5 linked regions of the Ovis aries genome follow. The protein of the gene in region 1 interacts with the protein of each later gene in a biochemical or structural test. Links are inferred from orthologs where the notes say so. Each region holds a gene or a part of one and is shown in the gene's direction. Other genes may lie near its edges.

The links.
Region 2: the proteins of PEX19 (region 1) and ABCD1 form a complex in vitro, tested with the Homo sapiens proteins (3 studies listed by BioGRID and IntAct, with this or other methods). The link is inferred for Ovis aries from reciprocal best matches to the Homo sapiens genes PEX19 and ABCD1.
Region 3: the proteins of PEX19 (region 1) and ABCD3 form a complex in vitro, tested with the Homo sapiens proteins (4 studies listed by BioGRID and IntAct, with this or other methods). The link is inferred for Ovis aries from reciprocal best matches to the Homo sapiens genes PEX19 and ABCD3.
Region 4: the proteins of PEX19 (region 1) and ABCD2 form a complex in vitro, tested with the Homo sapiens proteins (3 studies listed by BioGRID and IntAct, with this or other methods). The link is inferred for Ovis aries from reciprocal best matches to the Homo sapiens genes PEX19 and ABCD2.
Region 5: the proteins of PEX19 (region 1) and PEX13 form a complex in vitro, tested with the Homo sapiens proteins (2 studies listed by BioGRID and IntAct, with this or other methods). The link is inferred for Ovis aries from reciprocal best matches to the Homo sapiens genes PEX19 and PEX13.

Annotation. Positions count from the first base shown.
Region 1 is NC_056054.1:111,303,969-111,307,961, reverse strand, and holds the start of PEX19 (peroxisomal biogenesis factor 19), read left to right. Parts: upstream 1-1,191; 5' UTR 1,192-1,203; coding exon 1,204-1,273; intron 1,274-2,663; coding exon 2,664-2,773; intron 2,774-3,202; coding exon 3,203-3,368; intron 3,369-3,828; coding exon 3,829-3,914; intron 3,915-3,993. UniProt on the Homo sapiens protein: Necessary for early peroxisomal biogenesis. Acts both as a cytosolic chaperone and as an import receptor for peroxisomal membrane proteins (PMPs).
Region 2 is NC_056080.1:80,529,320-80,532,411, reverse strand, and holds the end of ABCD1 (ATP-binding cassette sub-family D member 1), read left to right. Parts: intron 1-856; coding exon of another isoform or gene 857-876; exon of another isoform or gene 877-905; coding exon 906-990; intron 991-1,233; coding exon 1,234-1,359; intron 1,360-1,447; coding exon 1,448-1,655; 3' UTR 1,656-2,583; downstream 2,584-3,092. UniProt on the Homo sapiens protein: ATP-dependent transporter of the ATP-binding cassette (ABC) family involved in the transport of very long chain fatty acid (VLCFA)-CoA from the cytosol to the peroxisome lumen.
Region 3 is NC_056054.1:71,595,149-71,598,662, forward strand, and holds part of ABCD3 (ATP-binding cassette sub-family D member 3), read left to right. Parts: intron 1-562; coding exon 563-632; intron 633-722; coding exon 723-820; intron 821-934; coding exon 935-1,026; intron 1,027-2,638; coding exon 2,639-2,730; intron 2,731-2,816; coding exon 2,817-2,880; intron 2,881-2,983; coding exon 2,984-3,047; intron 3,048-3,514. UniProt on the Homo sapiens protein: Broad substrate specificity ATP-dependent transporter of the ATP-binding cassette (ABC) family that catalyzes the transport of long-chain fatty acids (LCFA)-CoA, dicarboxylic acids-CoA, long-branched-chain fatty acids-CoA and bile acids from the cytosol to the peroxisome lumen for beta-oxydation.
Region 4 is NC_056056.1:147,840,836-147,845,115, forward strand, and holds the start of ABCD2 (ATP-binding cassette sub-family D member 2), read left to right. Parts: upstream 1-1,475; 5' UTR 1,476-1,688; coding exon 1,689-2,624; intron 2,625-4,090; coding exon 4,091-4,271; intron 4,272-4,280.
Region 5 is NC_056056.1:62,997,570-63,001,640, reverse strand, and holds the start of PEX13 (peroxisome biogenesis factor 13), read left to right. Parts: upstream 1-1,259; 5' UTR 1,260-1,290; coding exon 1,291-1,382; intron 1,383-4,071. UniProt on the Homo sapiens protein: Component of the PEX13-PEX14 docking complex, a translocon channel that specifically mediates the import of peroxisomal cargo proteins bound to PEX5 receptor.

The DNA of each region.
Region 1 (3,993 bases):
CAATCTTGTTTCCAGCTCCTGTTTCATCCAGCCCAGTGTTTCTCATGATGTATTTTGCATATAAGTTAAATAAGCAGGATGACAATATACAGTCTTGGTGGATTCCCTTCCCTATTGGGAACCACTCTGTTGTTCCATGTCCTGTTCTAACTGTTGCTTCTTGACCTGCATACAGATTTCTCAGGAGACAGGTCAGGTGGTCTGGTATTCCCATCTCTTGAAGAATTTTCCACAGTTTGTTGTGAACCAGAGTCAAAGGCTTTGGCGTAGTCAATAAAGCACAAGTAGATGTTTTTCTGTTCAGGGAAGGAACTCTACAGTACCTTTTTGCTTAATCCAAAGTCCAAGAGTCGCTTTTCTACCCGATTTGATTAGACTAATATCGAGTTCTAAGTTCTTGGCCCTGTGATAGTTTTAATGGGGTACAGGAAATGTGAGATAGCCAGTAGATTCTGCAGAGAAACATGCCTCTTTAGGATCTGAGAGAGCAAAGAGTAGACAATGAATGCCCAAATTTTAATCCCCAGCCCAGGAGCTAGGGATGCAGCAGTGAAGATGACGGATGAAAATCCTTGCCATCATCGTGCTTAAACTGCAAAGGGCTTAACGGGAGATAAAAACGATAAATAAGTAAAACGTATAGTATGTCACATAGAGGTAAGTTTTGAGAGAAATGGAGGGAAAGTGGGCAGGATTTGTATATGTATGTGTGTGGGAAGGGTTGCAGTTTTATTTAGTGAGGCCAAAGAAGGCATTTCAGAGAAGATGACATATGAGTAAAATACTGAAGTGAGAGAAAACTACCATGTTGGGTATACCGTAACTTCCTTATTGATTACAAACGCAGAGCTTCTGGTGGCTCGTGGGCAGTTTGTGCCAATTTGGCATACCCACAGCTCTGGAAAAAAATAATAAGAAAGCCAGGTAATGTGGGAAGTTGAAAGAAAGGAAGCCAGGCCAGTAAAAACAAAAACAAAAAAAAACCTGGCAGAAGGTAAGAGCAAACTCACCTCTGTTAGGTCAGCGTGCCAGTAGAAAGAAGAGGGGTGGCGGGGGCGGGAATCGGAGCATCCTGTCCCTTTAAAAATGGCGGCCCGGCACGGACCAACAATACCATTGGTTGCGCGAGCAGAGGGGGCGGGCACAGGGGCGGGGCGCGGAGCCTCGGAGTCCCACCTCCTACGGCAAGTCAGAGGTGGCAAGATGGCCGCGGCTGAGGGGGACGGTGGTGTCCGGGCCGAAGCCGACCGGGAATTGGAAGAGCTTCTGGAAAGTAAGAGCCCGTCATGGGAAAGCCCCAAAGAGGGCGGATGTAAGGATCCATTCAGGGGGTTAAGTAAACCTGCGATGTTTGGGGCGGAGTAAGAAAGGCTCTCCAAAGGCTGGACGGGGGCGGAGAGTCTGACTGCGACCCTCGAGAAAATCTCTGGGTCACCCTCTCCTTCCTCTGCAGCGGTAGTTGAGGAGTTCTCTCTGGGTCCCTGAACGGCCCACACTGTTGATCGCCCTGCCGGAGGGGAAGCTAACCCAGAGGACGTTTCACGCTCCCTCTCCAAACTCCCCTTACTTTAGTAAGTTCTGAAGTCTGACTTTCTCCCCACCAGCAGCAGCATTTGGTCCTCAGGGGGCAGCGAACCGAACAACCACGAATTGCTTCCATTAACTATTAGGAAGCCTGTAGTGCGTTCTTCTGTTAACTGTCCTGCCCTCCTTAACAGAAAAGACACTCCTTTTTTTCTCCCAGTCCTTTCATCCACCAGGCCCCTTTCCAGTTCTTTCATCATGTCAGAGCTCAAACCCTTCCCATTAGTTTGAAAAACAGGATGAGACAGCCTCAGGGGAAGACAGTTCACTCTGGAAAGAAGGTGGCTGTACTTTTCCTCCTCAGCCCTGCCATCCACTCCTGTCTGGTTTGGTTTCTTGTCCAGAGTGGGGCTGGTGTCTTTCCCCCTAGGCCTGGCAAATATAGTGGTGGTGAGAACACAGGCTTTTCAGGGTCGAGGTGAATATTTATTGTCTCTTGCTCAGTCACAGAGTGGGCAGGCGGAAAGGTGAACAGAAATGGTGAGAAGTGCTAAGTGACTGTGTGAGTCTGCAGAGATGAGACCACAGGGAGCTCTAGCAACTCTGGGGAGGGAGACCTAAATTGAAAGAGAAAAGAGAGTTCAGGGCCCTCCCGTGGAGTATAATATGGAGTCCCTCAGTTTGTACCAGGACCCATGGGAAGCTGGGTGAAACATCTTAAGGCTTCTGCTCTCTTGCCAAAGATTATTCCTTGTAGGGCTCCAGAGTGAGTTCTAGGGGGGTTAAGGACATCTGTGTTCTCTGTTTCTCTTGAATATCTGTATGGGATTTCTAGGAACCATTAAAGTATGGCAAAGAGGCATTGTGTAGATGAACTGTCCTCTTACAGCTTTGAGAGATGTTTTTTTACACCTTAAGAGACTTCTTCCCCTGTGATTACAGTATGTTAGGTAATGGGGAGGGGGAGGGAGAAGCTTATTGAGGAGTGGGTCAGGAGAGGGAGACTCAAAAAAAAGGAGAGCATTTTAGGAAGGTTGGCAGCTTGAAAGATTGTTTTCTTAATGCTTTGCTCAGAAACCCCTCTAGCCTTGCATTCTCATCCATCACCAACACATACACTGTGTCTCTTGTCTCTGAAGGTGCTCTTGATGATTTCGATAAGGCCAAACCCTCCCCAGCACCCCCTCCTACCACCACGGCCCCTGATGCTTCAGGGCCCCAGAAGAGATCGCCAGGAGACACTGCCAAAGTATAAATTCCACCCACTTAAGGGATGGGGAGGGTGTGGGCGTGCAGCTCCAAGCAGAGGTGGGGCAGGCCTTTGTGGGCCAGAGGGGAGTCGGGGAGGGTGCCTTGGCCTCACATTGGTGAGTGCTCTTGCAGGCCTCAGTCCTTGTGAAACAGGGACTTGAGATTGAGTACAGGGATCTCAAGGAAGTTCCTTAAGAAAAGAACAGATTTAAATGGTTGGATTGGGAATACCAGCCCATAGCCTTCCCTTAGTGGCCAGATGGCCTTTTTGCTGTTCTCATGAAGGGAAGTAGTCAGAATGCCCAATGGAGGTGGGTAGGAGGGAAGCACTGCACCTCCCAGCGCCACTGCCTGTGGCTTCTGTCAGAAACCATGTACACTGGGGTGCCAAGTAAGAGATGCGCTTTGGCCACATTCTCCCCTGCAGGATGCCCTCTTCGCCTCCCAGGAGAAGTTTTTCCAGGAACTGTTTGACAGTGAGCTGGCTTCCCAAGCCACTGCAGAGTTTGAGAAAGCAATGAAAGAGTTGGCTGAGGAAGAGCCCCACCTGGTAGAGCAGTTCCAAAAGCTTTCAGAGGCTGCTGGGAGAGTAGGTAAGGAAGAGAAACAGTGCGAAATATCTGAACAAACCTCTTGGGTTATTGTCCCTTGACAACACCAAAATTTTTTGTAAAAGTTGACAGTAATTATGATACCACTGCCATGGGATGGGGGAGGAGATGGAAGGAAAAAGGAGACCCTGTTTAATGAAAGGGGTGAGATAGGTTGGAAAGTAACAGAAAAGATTATTGAAAAGTGATAATTTCATTTTTATTTATTTATTTTGAAAAGTGATAATTTTAAAGATCAGTGTTAATGTGGGTGTCATTGTAGAGAACAAACTGAGACACAGTCCATGTAGATTTATGAAAATAACTATGAAGATAAACGTATTCAAAGATTTGGAGTGTAGCAATTCACTAGTAAATGCTCCATGTCCAAGCTGGTAACCAGGTCAGTCTTAAGCAAGCAGTTAAAATCCTAAATGACCTAGGCTCTTTTCATCTCTCCCAGGCAGTGATGCGACTTCCCAACAAGAATTCACCTCTTGCCTAAAGGAGACGTTAAGTGGACTAGCCAAGAATGCCACTGACCTTCAGGTGAGAGGGAAGATGGGGAACCACATGGGTCCCACTCACAGAGATTTCACCGGCAGAGCCTCAAAAGACAGACTCTCTT
Region 2 (3,092 bases), on another chromosome or scaffold:
CTCCCATCGGGGCAACTTGGGCATTGAAGTGTTTTGTTTTGTTTTTTTTTTGGTGGGTGGCCACATGCCCTACCGAAAGTTCTAGTTCTCTGGAAAGAGAGTGGAGGGAGCAAGCCAGGAGGTGTTTCTCATGAATCACCCACTTCCCTCCTCATCCAAGGAGTTCTCCTGAGCCTTGCTGACATGCTTCACACTGGGACACACAGGCCTCATCCCAGTGGGTGAGAAGGTTTCCAGAGAGACCACCAGAGCCATTCTTGGGGCTCTGCCTTGACTGCTGCCCACTGGCACTTCATTAGCCCCGTTAGGTCCTGTGTGATTTTGCTGGCACCAGAGACTGGGTGGGACAAACAACAGAAACGTATTGTCTCCCAGTCGTGGAGGCTGGATGTCCATGATCCAGGCGTGGGCAAGGTCGGTTCCTCCTGCTGGCCGTGAGGGAGGGTGTCTTCCAGGCCTCTCTCCTGGGATAGGAGAGGCCGTCTGTGCCCTGTGTCTTCACGTCATCTTTCCTTCATGTGTGTTTGCATCTCCAAGTGTCCCCTTTTATAAGGACACAGTCCCATTGGATTAGGACCACCCTCGTGACCTCCCTTTAACTCAACCACTCCTAAGAAGACCCAGTGTCCACATGCGGTGGGTGGCATCCTCAGGGCCTGCAGGTGAGGACTGCCCGGTGTCTATTGGAGGAAATGTGTGTAAATCTGGACCGAGTCCTTTTGGACTAATACAGTGTCCGCAGACGTCCCCAGTGGCCGACCTTTCCCTGCCATATTCTGCTCTCACTTGTGTCTGTATTCCTTTGAGCAACCCCAAGCCTTCCTACCACACCCACCATGCCCGGGTCCTTCTGCAGATGCTGCCCAGCCCTCTTGAACTGAACGTCAACCCTTGTCCTGTGCCAGGTTGGGAGGCCGTGTGCGACTGGAAAGACGTCCTGTCGGGAGGCGAGAAGCAGAGAGTTGGCATGGCCCGCATGTTCTACCACAGGTGAGCTGCCAGCCTCCCAGTCCCGGGTGCTTGGGCTCCCTCGGGCACCGGGAGTTCCCCGAACCTCTTTCCCTGGGACCTCCTAAAGCGGGGAGAGCAGAACTGCTCGGAGGCCTGGCCCCAGCCCTGGGGGCCTGGCAGGACTGGGGGTCAGGCTCCCCGCCTCCACCTGAGGGGCTGGGACCAGCCTGGGGCATTGGCCCCAGAGGCCCACAGCCTCACCCACATGGCCACACCCCCAAGGCCCAAGTACGCTCTCCTGGATGAGTGTACCAGCGCCGTGAGCATCGACGTGGAAGGCAAGATCTTCCAGGCGGCCAAGGACGCAGGCATCGCGCTGCTTTCCATCACCCACCGACCCTCCCTGTGGTAGGTGTGCCCTCCCTTCCCACAGGACTCTGGCCAAGGGTCCTGGCCACCCGCTGAGTGCCTCCTCTGGGTCCCTCTCCTGACGCAGGAAGTACCACACCCACTTGCTGCAGTTCGACGGGGAAGGTGGCTGGAAGTTCGAGAAACTGGACTCGGCTGCCCGCCTGAGCCTGACTGAGGAGAAGCAGCGGCTCGAGCAGCAGCTGGCGGGCATCCCCAAGATGCAGCGGCGCCTCCAGGAGCTCTGCCAGATCCTGGGCCAGGGCCCCGGGGCCAACCAGGGCGCTGCCACTTGACCGAGGGCCCTGGCTCTCTCTTACTTGGCCCTTGGCCCCCCTCCACCCCCACCCCAACCCTCGGATCACGTGAAGGAGACAGAGCGCCTGCGCAACCCAGCCCCATGTCCCCCCACCCCCCGCTGCATGCTTCACCAGCCTCCCAGGCCTCCCAGGGGACCACCCACAAAACCTGTGCCCCCTTCCTGGGGACCTGAGCAAGGGGAAGGGAGAGCAGCCAGAGGCGCACCCTGCTGCCAGCAGCAGCCTGGGCCTTGGAGCCCTGGGGTTTGCCAGGCAGCACCTCCCAAGGCTGTAGCTCATCACTCTTGGCTTTGCAGTCCCTTGGAGACATCATGGTCCATGCCTCTATTGCCATCATCCCAGGGACCCAGCAAGGCTCCCATCCCCTGGGATGCCCTTTTTGCTGTAAAAACAGCCAAGTGAGACCCTCAGAATGAGACACAGCCCCTCATTCGTGGCCCCCCCCCCCGCCACCCGTCATTCTGTAGAATCCACAAGGAAAAGAATTGCACAGCTTTTCCTACCGAGCCATAATAAGAATGTAGCCCCGTCCCTCCCCGCTTCTCCAAGCTAATTTATTGGATTCCTGTTTGTAGACATCTCCATTGCCAGCGGGAGCACCTGGTCAGCCAGCCCCTGGCCCGCCCACCACCCCACCAGCCTACACTGCCGATCACCAGAGTGTGGGTGGGGGAGGGCTGGCCCCAGGGGCGACGGACCCTGGGGCCACCAGGCATGAGGGCACCGTGGTGCCCAGTCTAGTGCCAAAGAGGGGTCAGCAGGGAAGCTGTGTCCACAAAGGCAGCCTCGACCTGAGAGGGAGACCCCCACCGCCGCCATGCCGCCGTGTGCCTTTTGGGCCCTCAGCCCTGGGGTCAGGGAGCCTCCCTGAGTTCCTCAGTAAAGACCTGCCGTGGAAAGTGCACTCTTGCCTCGCAGCCTCTCTGTCCACATGGGGGCTTGGTTGGGGGAGAGGCAGGAGGGGCAGCTGTGGGCCTGAGTGAGGGGCAACCTTGGTGGCCCACCTGCAGCCAAAGATGCTGGCCTGCACGTCCTCTGGACCCAGCTGTGGCAAGGAGGCATCTGTAATATCTCCCGAAAATGATGTTTAAGACCAAAGAGGACCCTGGACCCTGTGCCAGGGAAGAGGAAGGGGCTGAGGCCTGGTCCATGCATGAGAAGCTTCGAGAGAGATACCAAGCAGCGGACTGGTGGGGGACACAGAGGAACAAGAGTCCTGAGCCAGCCAGCCCAAGGGAAGCAGGACATGGCTTCCAGACCTTGTAGGAGTGGGAGACGCTTGTGCCACATGCCAAGCGCAGGGGGAAGGGAGGGGCCAAGGCCTTGCTTAAAGAGCTTAGACTTACTCTGGAAGCAGGTTGGAGATAACATAGGAGCTCTGCTTCAAGAGGCCGAGTGGAGGGAGGCAAGAAC
Region 3 (3,514 bases), about 40 Mb from region 1:
ACATTAAAAATGCAGAATAAAATACATTTTTAGATTTGCAAATTTGGGGTAATGCATGCTGAGATTAAAACTACAGACTCAAGCTATGCGGCGTTACATTAGCACTTGGCTCAAATTGAATGTAGTACAAGTCTTAGAGAAAGACCAGGTGTTTCCAACTAAAGCAAAGCATTGAATGCTATTTCCAGACAGCTAGTTTCACCTAAATTATCTTTCTGTTTCTGTTTTTTGTTTTGATTATCAATTTTTGCCTGTATGTATCCGACAGTATTATGAATACAGTATCATTGTACTATTTCATGCAGGGGATACCACACGCATAGTCTTTATGTTTTCCACTCTGTTTGCATAAAAATGGATTCATGAAGGCTTTGTTTGGCACCTGTTCTGTGATCAGCATTGTGCTCAATGAAGTGTGATGTATACTGTAATCAGAAATTATAGGTACTCAGTAAATATTTGTTGAATACATAAATTATACAGTTTCTTTCGTCCTCATGGTAGATTAATTTCCCTTAATACATGGGAAGTGTGTATGTATTTTGTGTTTGCTTTCTGTCAGGTGGAGCACCTGCATAATTTCATCTTGTTTCGGTTCTCTATGGGCTTCATTGACAGCATAATTGCCAAATGTAAGTATGCTTTAAAAGAGATGGTAGAATGGGATTCGTGGGGAAAGTGAGGTGTTGTTGTGGTTTTCAACCTTAACTGTTTGGTTGCAGACCTTGCCACTGTGGTTGGTTACCTAGTCGTCAGTCGTCCTTTCTTAGACTTGTCTCATCCTCGGCATCTTAAGAGCTCACATTCGGAACTTCTGGAGGTAAAGTGGTAATGGCAGTCAGACTCAATTGAACTCTTAAAAATAAAAAATGTGAAAAAAGCTAGTTTTAATCTTCGAAATACAACTGAAAACTAATATTTCTTTCTATTTCAGGATTACTACCAGAGTGGAAGAATGCTTTTGCGAATGTCTCAGGCTCTGGGTCGAATAGTTTTGGCTGGCCGTGAAATGACTCGATTGGCTGGGTAAGTTAAGATTTGTAATACTGAGCAACTGCAGAGAATCTTTTTTTTTTTTTTTAGATGTTATCCTTAATGATTGTGACCAATTGAGGTTGAGATAAGGAGCCCCTGAATCCTCATATTTCCTACTCTTGGAAGCTGGTTTTGATAGAAAATGAGGAAGAGTTTTTTCTGATAGTATACTTTTCATGTTTCCTTAAGATAGCTATTTTAGGTAGCTAGGTTAGTTGTTCTCCAGCTGTCTGCTCTGTGAATACTGGTATTCAATAAGATGGGGAATGTTGAATCATGGCAGTCTTTCCTTAATTTACAGAAAATTAAGTTAGTTAATAAAATTTTTTCATTTGGACTTTTTTGTCCTCTACCAGACTTTTCTTCCCCTTCGCCCTTTGGTACTGGTAATGCATAAGCAAGGATGAAGTTTATTTTAATGGGAAAAAAAAAGAAAAAGTTACCTTGTGGTAGCTCTAAGTCCAGTTGTAAACCTGTCAGGGTGTCTGGTAAAATTATTCTTAGACCATCAAATGGATTAAATATTTCAAAATTTCAAAGTCTAGTATAAAGGGCTTGGTATGGTATTTAAGACAACACATAATGTAAAAAAAAAGCCTTAAGTTTCAGGTTATCTGAAGAAGTTGAATGACTTTGGCTCTTTTCCAGGCCTGTGATTAATTTGCATATCCCTTCTTCTCTACTCCTTTAGCAGTTAAGGCCTTTATGACAAGATAGAAGAGGCTGTAACTCCTGTGAGGAGTCTTTCTTGAGAATGCTGACTTTCTTCCAACTTGTTAATAACTTCCTCAGGCCTTTACATTTCCTGGCATAGAGAATGCTTCCATTCCTTTAGGAAGTTTCTGCTTGTTATTCACAGAACAATTCTGTTTGCTTCTCTGGTTAGAATGCTTTCTCCTCGACCATCATGCCATTCATACTTTTCAACTTCTTGTCAGTAGTTTTGATTTCTCTCTTATCATCACCACAGTGATTTCTCTCTAATATTAAGAACACTTCATCTTTCCCCCTCTTCAGAGGAAGAAGGAGAAGGATCTCCCCAATTCTTCCCTGTTTGCAGGAAAGTAGTGTGCATATGGCATACTTAGAATAAATGATGTCCTCAGAGAGAAAGGCCAGCTTTATCCAAGGCTGTGTAGCCCTCCCAGCAGGGACTCAGGCTTCATGCTTCATCGACCTAAGAAATGCCACTAGCGTGTGTCCTTTTTTAGTATTTACTGGAAAATTCCTTAAAGTTCTAGTGGCAGACAACCTTCTTGACTTGCCTATTAATAAAGTCAGTATCTGTTGCGGTGGGATCCTATGAGACCTCTTTTCTTAGCCCCATCTTCCTGCTCTCCTACTAAACCATAATAGTAAAATGTGTATAGTATCACTAATACTTGTATAATATCATTAATGTTGGTGAGAATTCTTTTAAGTGATTTCATTGAAACTACATAATAAGTTTAGAAACTTAAGTCAGGTTTGTATAAAATAAAATAAAAGAACTTGATGTTACATGTCAATTATATTCAAGTAAATAATAAAAAATAAAAGATATGATAGCCTTTGGAGTTTTGCTTATGGCTTTCTTCGTTTCTTTTTCTTTTTTTAATTCCAGCTTTACTGCTCGGATTACAGAATTAATGCAAGTACTAAAGGATTTAAATCAGGGCAAATATGAACGCACTATGGTCTCACAACAGGAAAAGGGTAAATATGAAGGCACTCAGTCACATACGTTTTTGCTGACATGACTTGATGCTTTAATACTTATTTTTCCATTTAATGTGTTGAAGGAGCACAAGATATTCCCTTGATACCTGGAATTGGAGAAATCATCAATACAGATAACATTATAAAGTATGTACAGATTTGTTAAACTACACAGTAGCCTTTCTCTTTCAGCTACATCTACTTAGTGTTTAATGTCAAACTATTCTCTTTTTATTAATTTCCTCTATAGATTTGATCATGTTCCTTTAGCAACGCCAAATGGAGATATCTTGATTCGAGACCTTAATTTTGAAGTAAGTTTTTACATGGTTGTATAAAAGCTTAAATCATCTTCAAAACGTGAATTGAGAAACTGTTGTCTGAATGTTTAAAAGAATTTTAAGGCTTCACTTAGTCTCTGAATCCACAAAATTGCTTTGAAAAGTAAGCCTTTGTAAAGGAGGACTGCGTTGGAGTAAGGTATTTTAAATTTCCAGTTACAGGATAAATCAGTACTAGGGATGTAATATACAACATGATAAATATAAAAACAATACTGGATGTTGTATGTGAAAGTTGTTAAGAGCAGAAAACCTAAGAGTTCTCATCACACACATACTTTTTTTTTCTGTTTCTTTAATCTGGCATCCGTATGAGATGTTCACTGAACTTACTATGATAATCATTTCATGGTGAATGGGCATCAAATCACTGTGCTGTATACCTTAAACAGTACTGCACGTCAGTGAGATCTCAGTATAATTGGAATAAAAAGTAAAAA
Region 4 (4,280 bases), on another chromosome or scaffold:
GGGTTGGGAATATCCCCTGGAGGAGGGCATGGCAACCCACTCCAGTATTCTTGCTTGGAGAATCCCAAGGACAGAGGTGCCTGGCCGGCTGCAGTCCATAGAGTCACATGGAGTTGGACCCAACTGAAGCTACTAAGCACTCATTTTTAGCTCATAAGCTACATAAAAATTGGTGGGACAAATGTGGCCCACTGGTTGGGTTGTAATTTGCCTACTTCCATTCTCATTTAATGGACATCTTCCCAGGATTCCAGTTGACTAGAAATGTTTGTGTGTGTTGTGTGGGGGGCAGGGAGGTCATGAGGGGTGGAGAAGCAAAAATGTTTTTGCATTTTTGAGAATAACTCATCTTTGCCTAAAAAAACATGTCTGTTACATTTTTAAAAATATGCACAATTTTGCTTGTTTACAGTTTAGTCCTCCATTAGAGATGCTGAGAATATTTTTGAACACTTGATTTTTATCAAATAATCAAAATGGAGATGGGAAGTAGATTACCTCTAAACCTAAACAAAACAAACAAAACATAAGCTTACAAAAGACAAGGAACTCTTGCAAAATGAAGTAAAATGGTAGAGAAGCTATTTCTATCATCTAATTACCCTTTGACTCCCAAATGGTTAACTTTTGAATATGAAGGCACATACCTCCAAGTACCAACTCTCTAAAGGACACAGGGGTGGTAGAAGTGAAACACTGCTCTCATTTATTTAATAGTCACTTTGTAAATAATCACCAGTGTATCAGATCTCCATTGTTAAGAAGAGCAGTTATGGCGCTTGAAGATTTTTATTATAAGGACAAGTAAACTTTGGAATGAAGTCACAGCAAAGAATTATTTTCTATTATACTGAAGACTTATCTCCCATTTATTTACAAAACAATAGCCTCATACAACTTGTTTGATAGGTTCTGGGATTTCATGTGAAATCACAGACACTAAAAGGAAAAAAAAAATGGGCGAGGAGAGAGCGCTGAAAAACAGATCCGAATATTTGATACTTTGTTTTTTTCCAGTGCCCCTCCCATATGCTACTTTCTTCTCCCTTTCAGATTCATTCCATACCCTTTATCTGTTGATCCTCTCCTCCGTCATCTCCCCGGTTGCTTCTCCGTCGTTGGAAATCTCCCTTTTTAGCCCTTGGAAATCTCCCTTTCTTTTTGCTCTTCCTTTGTGGTATCTACTAAAACGTTAAAGTGATGTATTTTCTGAAACTTCTGTGGGTTTCTAAGTGACGCTGAGCATGCTCAGTCGCCTAGGCAGGTTTTGTCGCCAGCAGCTGCCCTGATTCGACCTCTCCAAAAATAGACATTTAACTCTCTGAACTGTTTAAGGATATAATTCGTTTTGCTCTCTCTTCATTTTCAAGGTTCAAAGGAAAGCAGCGAGGATTCCAAGGGTCCCTTCGTCCTTACAGCCAATGAGGGGGCTGAGAGGGAGGAGCTTGGGGCTGCTGCGTGCAGCTTGAGCTTCTGAGGGAATCATCCCCAGTAGACGCGGTGGAGCCTGAGCTCTGAAGCATCTGTCACAGAACAAAATTTTTAAAAATAAAAACAATAACAGAAGAGGAGAAACGCTGCAAACTATGGAACGCTGTAAAACTTTCTGAAACATTTGCTGGGAATTCCTGTGGAGCATGATATTTTAAAACCAATTCTTTTTGAAGCCGGTTTGGGTAACTGGGAAAATGATACATATGCTAAATGCAGCAGCTGATCGAGTGAAATGGACCAGATCAAGGGCTGCTAAAAGGGCTGCCTGTGTGGTAGCTGCAGCATATGCTCTGAAAACCCTCTATCCCATCATTGGCAAGCATTTAAAGCAGTCTGGCCACAGGGAGAAAAAAGGCGCTTACTCGGCTGCGGAGAACAGAGAAATACTGCATTGCACCGAGGCCACTTGTAAAAAACCTTCACCTGGAGTGAATGCAGATTTTTTCAAACAGCTACTGGAACTTCGGAAAATTCTCTTTCCAAAACTTGTGACCACTGAAACAGGATGGCTCTGCCTCCACTCGGTAGCTCTAATTTCAAGAACCTTCCTGTCTATTTATGTAGCAGGTTTGGATGGAAAAATTGTGAAAAGCATTGTGGAAAAGAAGCCTCGGACTTTCATCATCAAGTTAATCAAGTGGCTTATGATTGCCATCCCTGCCACCTTTGTCAACAGTGCAATAAGGTACTTGGAGGGCAAATTGGCCTTGGCCTTCAGAACTCGTCTAGTAGACCATGCCTATGAGACCTATTTTGCAAATCAGACTTATTATAAGGTGATCAATATGGATGGGAGGCTGGCAAACCCTGACCAGTCTCTTACTGAGGATATTATGATGTTTGCTCAGTCGGTGGCTCACTTGTACTCCAATTTGACCAAACCTATTTTAGATGTAATCCTGACCTCCTATACACTTATCCAGACTGCTACATCCAGAGGAGCAAGCCCAATTGGGCCCACTGTTTTAGCAGGGCTTGTGGTATATGCCACTGCTAAAGTGTTAAAAGCCTGCTCTCCCAAATTTGGTAAATTGGTGGCTGAAGAAGCTCATAGAAAAGGCTATCTGCGGTACGTGCACTCCAGAATCATAGCCAATGTTGAAGAAATTGCCTTTTACAGAGGACATAAGGTAAGAAAGAAATTAAGATGATGGGTGAAATGTGAGATTGTTCAAACTGCCACTGCAGTGCTGGATACCATCTGTTGTATTGTTTTTGTGCTCAATTCTTTAGCATTTTGGATTCTTATGACATTTAAACCTGTATTAAAATATATGCTTTGCTACCCTTTTTAATCATAAACTGTTAAAGAATTATATGCTAAGTGAAAACTTTTCTAAAGTTTCATGAGAATGAACATGAAACATTTTCACCACTCTAAAAAACTCTACTTATCCAAACATGCTCAGAATTATCTCCAAAGGATTTTCTTAAAACTAAAATCCTAACTAAGTAGATGGTCCTAGAACACTGAAGAAAAATATATGTTTAGAAGCTAAGTAAACATGCTTCCACTGAGATGGAAAATTTAGGATGATATTGTTTATTTTTCAAGAGAAAAAAGTGCTTTCATATAAGAAGACAAGTGTAACAATTTTGCATGACTGGTCAATGATGGAGTTCCTTAGTTCTAAGAAGTATAGGAGAGTGACTTACAAATGGCATTTTCATTGCTTATCATATTTTGAGACAAATAAAAAAAGATAAGGAAATGAACTTTTGCCTAGTTTTGAGGGAAAAGTAAAGATTAGAGATGAAGAAGGAAAAAGGAGTTCCAGAATATTTTTATATATTAAAGATTTTCAACATTTAGCAGGTCCGTAGAACAGTTAACCTAATTACATAAACTTGCAGTGCATTTAAGAATATTAAATATGACAGGAATCTTTAAATCTTAATACAAATGACCTGGCAAATTAAACAGTAAATTATTCTAAAGTTAAAATGGCATTATGATTATGAAGCAGAATTAATTTTCAAAACCATCAATTATTTAAAAAAATTATATGGTAGTACTATTCTGAAGAAGAAAATTTAAAGCAGATTTAGGACTTATATTCCCACTTGAAAATTGGCCTCATACATTGTATAAATCATATTTATTTTGAATCGTTGAACTCAGTGATATAAATTATAACATGCTGTAGGCTTCTTGCATTTAGACATAACATAGTAAACTGAGTGCTCAAAAATGAAGTTAATTACACATATACATGTCATGTGTTTATTTTCACTCATTTTTGGTGTGATCAAGGGCAAGGTTCTAGCTGTTTATTCATATTTTATGGATTATCATTTACTGTTAACATCTTATATAGATAAGGTTGAAACCATAAGTATAAATCACTTGTCTATATTTATATTTAACATTATGTATACTAAATATCAGATATTTTAAAAATAATTTAGATGTGATTACAAGTGAAATAATGGCTAATTCTGACATAATATGTATTTATTGGTTGTTAGAATCAGACATAAGAGTATACTAAGAAAGAGAAAATATGAAATTATCTTTAAAGGAAGTCCTCAAACATACATTATTTATTTTTATAATTCATACTAGGTTAATTCTTATCTCTTTTTCTCTCCATAGGTAGAAATGAACCAACTCCAGAAAAGTTACAAAGCTTTAGCAAATCAGATGAACCTCATTTTATCCAAACGTTTATGGTACATCATGATAGAGCAGTTCTTGATGAAGTATGTTTGGAGCAGCAGTGGACTAATTATGGTGGCTGTACCTATTATCACGGCAACTGGCTTTGCAGATGGTGGTAATGACA
Region 5 (4,071 bases), on another chromosome or scaffold:
AAATGAAAGGATTTCATAAAACATGAGAAATCAGTTATTGTATATTAGATTTATTATCTTTGAACGCAAGCCTTGAGAAATACATCCTGTGCTGTAAGGTTTTCATTGTTGGCTGCCTTCAAGATATTTGCTTTTAGTTTACGTGTGTACACAAAGAACTGGAACATATTGGAACAGAACCTCTTCCCAGGTGTCAGGATCCTTAGAGTCTCTTCTCCACAAACCAGCGGTAACTCGCCCGGTCCCTGGTTTACTAGAGGAGAGGATGAATTTTCTCGTCCTATCTCCGACGATTACAGAAACTATTTATGGCAAAGGAGCAGGAAAATACCCAGGCTGAGTCTCACATCCTGGGATCTTTTAAAACTCATTTCCATACAGAAGGGGGTCATTCGTTTTGTGGGGTGGGGTGTGGATTTTTAAATAAGGAGGTGCTCGTAACTGCATCGCGCTACCGATACGCTCTGCAGTGGAATCTAATTTCTGGAAAGTTCATCCCCAGGTCTAACCTCGAGTCTTCGGCCAACCAAGCAAGCCCTTCTCCCCTTCACTCAGATCCCCAAAACTTCTCACGCACCCCTCCTTGCTATCAAAGCCTCTCCAGAAGGAAGGCAACGATCCCCTCCACCCACACCTCTCCGGCACCCAGTCCGCAACCCCTCACCTCAGACCTCCTAGCCTCACCTTCTCCCAGGACGCCGGAGCCTGAAAGTTAACCCCTTCCAGCCCTCCGAGAGAACGGGGAAGACTAAAGACAACGCACCTATTGAGTCTAGCAATTCTGTTCCCCGAGGAAACAAGAGCTTTAGAACGAAAGTACCAGGTCCCTCACGCGAGGACTGAGAGAACTCTCTCTCCCCTGCATGTTGGCAAGGAAATCAGTCAAGGTGCCTGGCCAGTCGCAACACACCCTGCCTCCTCCCTGCGGGGGGAGAAGTGCGTGGAGCATTACTCCGGGAGGGTGCGGGACTTGTCTCAGGGAAGCCTCCGTGGGACTCCGACGGCTGGGGCAGTGTAGCCGCTGCCGGAAATATCGATGAACTCTTATCCTTGGTTTAAAATGGAAATTCTTTCTAGGACAAATAAAAAGAGAGCATTTCTTCCCATGGATTAGTGGTATAGACCTAGACTGTAATCCCAAGCAGCAAAGCACCACGAGCCACATCCTGACTTCGGGGGCGGTCCGGGTGGAGGGCTCGGCGCTCTGCAAGTTGTGCCTGGCGTTCAAGCGGCCGGTGTCCCGGGGCCTGGAGAGTCCCAGTTCCGAGCGGGAGCTGAGAGGAGGCGGAGATGGCGTCCCAGCCGCCGCCTCCCCCGAAACCCTGGGAGACCCGCCGGATTCCGGGGACCGGGCCGGGACCAGGACCCGGCCCCACTTTCCAGTGAGTGTGCGATTTTTCAAGTCGCAAGTTTTGTGGGCCGCAGCGCGGACTTGGGAGGAGGCGGTTGAGGCCGTTGTTGGTGCTGAGGCGTCCCCTCCCCCTCTCCACCAGCTCCCACCCGTACCCTTCGAGGGTCGAGGTGCAGCCGGGGCGTCTGCAGGGGTCGTTTCGGTGTCAGACAGCTGTTTCTGATTCGGCAGCTCTCGATAGCGACGTTTTCCAGGGGGTTCCTGTGCGCCTGTGTGGCTGTGGGTGCTCGGAAGCGAGGGGCAGGTACCTTTCTCTTTTCAGTGTCCCTTCTCTTTGAGGGACTGCTTGATTCTTTTTCCCCCACCATCTCCACCTTAAAGAGACTTTCGGTCCGTTGTAGGTGAGAGAGACATTTGCCCAGCCCCTCTTATTAGGGAGCAAAGTCTCTAAAGCCTTTAACTATCTCTCGACAAGTTGGTGAAAGCCCAGAAGGTCACTTTTACGCAACTACAACTCAAGCCTGTATTCTGCGTTCTTTTCCAGCATAACCCAGCCTTGTTTCGGATAGAGATTTGTGAAAGCAACTTGAAAAAGGGAGAGTTCAAAACTGAGGCCTAACGGTGGCCTTTGTGTGCTAGATAGCGAGTGATTTTTTTTTTCTAAGGCTTATGGTTTTTTGTTTGATTTTAATCAGTGTTAAATGAATCTACAACTCAAATAAGGTTAAAATAGAATAAAAGAGAATTTCACAGCCTCTGTGATATGTGTTGGGTGGATCTGGACTTCTTTTTAATTTTTTAAAATTTTTTAGTTTTATATTATATTGGAACCCAACTGTTGTGTTAGTTTCAGGTGTACAGCAAAGTGATTCAGTTATACATATACATGTATCCTTTTTCACATTCTTTTCCCATTTAGGTTATTTCAGAATATTAAGCAGCTTGCTCTGTGCTATACAGTAGATCCTTGTTGATTATCTAAATACAGTAGTGTGTAGGTATGAGTCCCAGACTCCCACTCTATTCCTCCCCCACACCCTTCGCCCCCTGGTAACCATAAGTTCCTTCTCTAAGTCTGTGGATCTGGACATCTTAATTCAGATGGTGAGACTGGAATGTCAGATCACCTACTATGGTACGTTTCCTTACAAAGAAATTCTGAACATACTGGAATGAATTTCTGCTATGTTCTGAAATCTTGTTATCTTTTATTAAGATGTTTGAGCACAATTGCTACTTTACTTAATGATGATAGGCACATAAATAATAAGGTTTAATTATGCTGTTAAGCTGGGTGACACATTCTGCTACCTCTTTTTATGAGTGGTTGACTTTCTTTTTTTTTTTTTTTTGGTTGACTTTCTTTAAAAATTTGGACTGCTCTTGGGAAGAGCAAACTTTTATTCTTGCTTCTGGTTAAGTTCTGTTTATGTAAAATTAATCATTTTCCCACTTTTTAAGAAAATGTGAATTGTAATGTGTTAAACATTTAGAGACTGGTAGAGACTAAGATGATAAATACTCATGTATTAACTCCCAGCTTTAAGCAGTTAATAACATTTTGCCAGACTTGCCACAGGTCTTTTACAAAATAAAAATTAGAGTAACGGTTAAACCCTCCCATTCTTCTTTCCTACAGTAACCACTGTCCCTATTTGGTGTTTACTGTGCATAATGTTTTTGTTGGAGGAGGAAATGGCCACCCACTCCAGTATTCTTGCTTAGGAAGTCCCATGGACAGAGAAGCCTGGTGGGCTACAGTCCATGGGGGTCGCAAGAGTCGGACACAACTTAGGAACTAAACCACCACCACCAATGTTTTTATACTTTAGTATTTGGGTTTGTGTGTGCATTACATATGTATGTATGTATTACTATTTAGTATTTTTTTAAACTTTAAATAAATATTATCAAACTGTATGTTATCATTTGCAAAGTGTTTTTCCACTAAGTATTATTTGAACTTTATTTTTTTCATTCATATAAGCTGTACAGGCATACCTGGGAGATAATGCAGATTGGGCTCCAGACCACTGCAATAAGTGGAATATTGCAGTAAAGCAAGTCGCATGAGTGTTTTGATTTCCCAGTGTTATGTTTACACTCTATTGAAGTCTATGCAGTAGCATTTTGTCTAAAGAAATAATGTACATACCTTAAAGATACTTTATTACTAAAAAAAAATTGCAAACTATCATCTGAGCCTTCAACCAGTTGTAATCTTTCTGTTGGTAGAGAGTCTTATCCCCATTGCTGAAGGCTGGAGTGGTTGTGGCATTTTTTTAAAATAAGACAATGGTGAAGTTTGACACATTGGTTGACTCTTCCTTTCTCAAATATGTCTCTGTAGCATGCAGTCCTATTTGATAGCATCTTACCTACAGTAGAACTTCTTTCAAAATTGGAGTAAAGCCTCTCAAACTCTGATGCTGCTTTATCAACTAGATTTACATAATAGACTATATCCTTTGTTGTCATTTCAACAGTCTTCATGTCCTCACCAAGAGTGGATGCCATCTGAAGAAGCCACTTTCTTTGCTTATCCATAAGAAGCAGCTTTTCACACATTGAAGTCTTATCATGAGGTTACAGCAATAAAGTTACATCTTTAGGCTCCACTTTAGTTCTCTTGCTGTTTTCAACACATCTGCAGTTACTTTTTTCACTGAAGTTTTGGGGCTGCTCAAAGACATCCATGAGGATTGGAATCATCTGTTTCC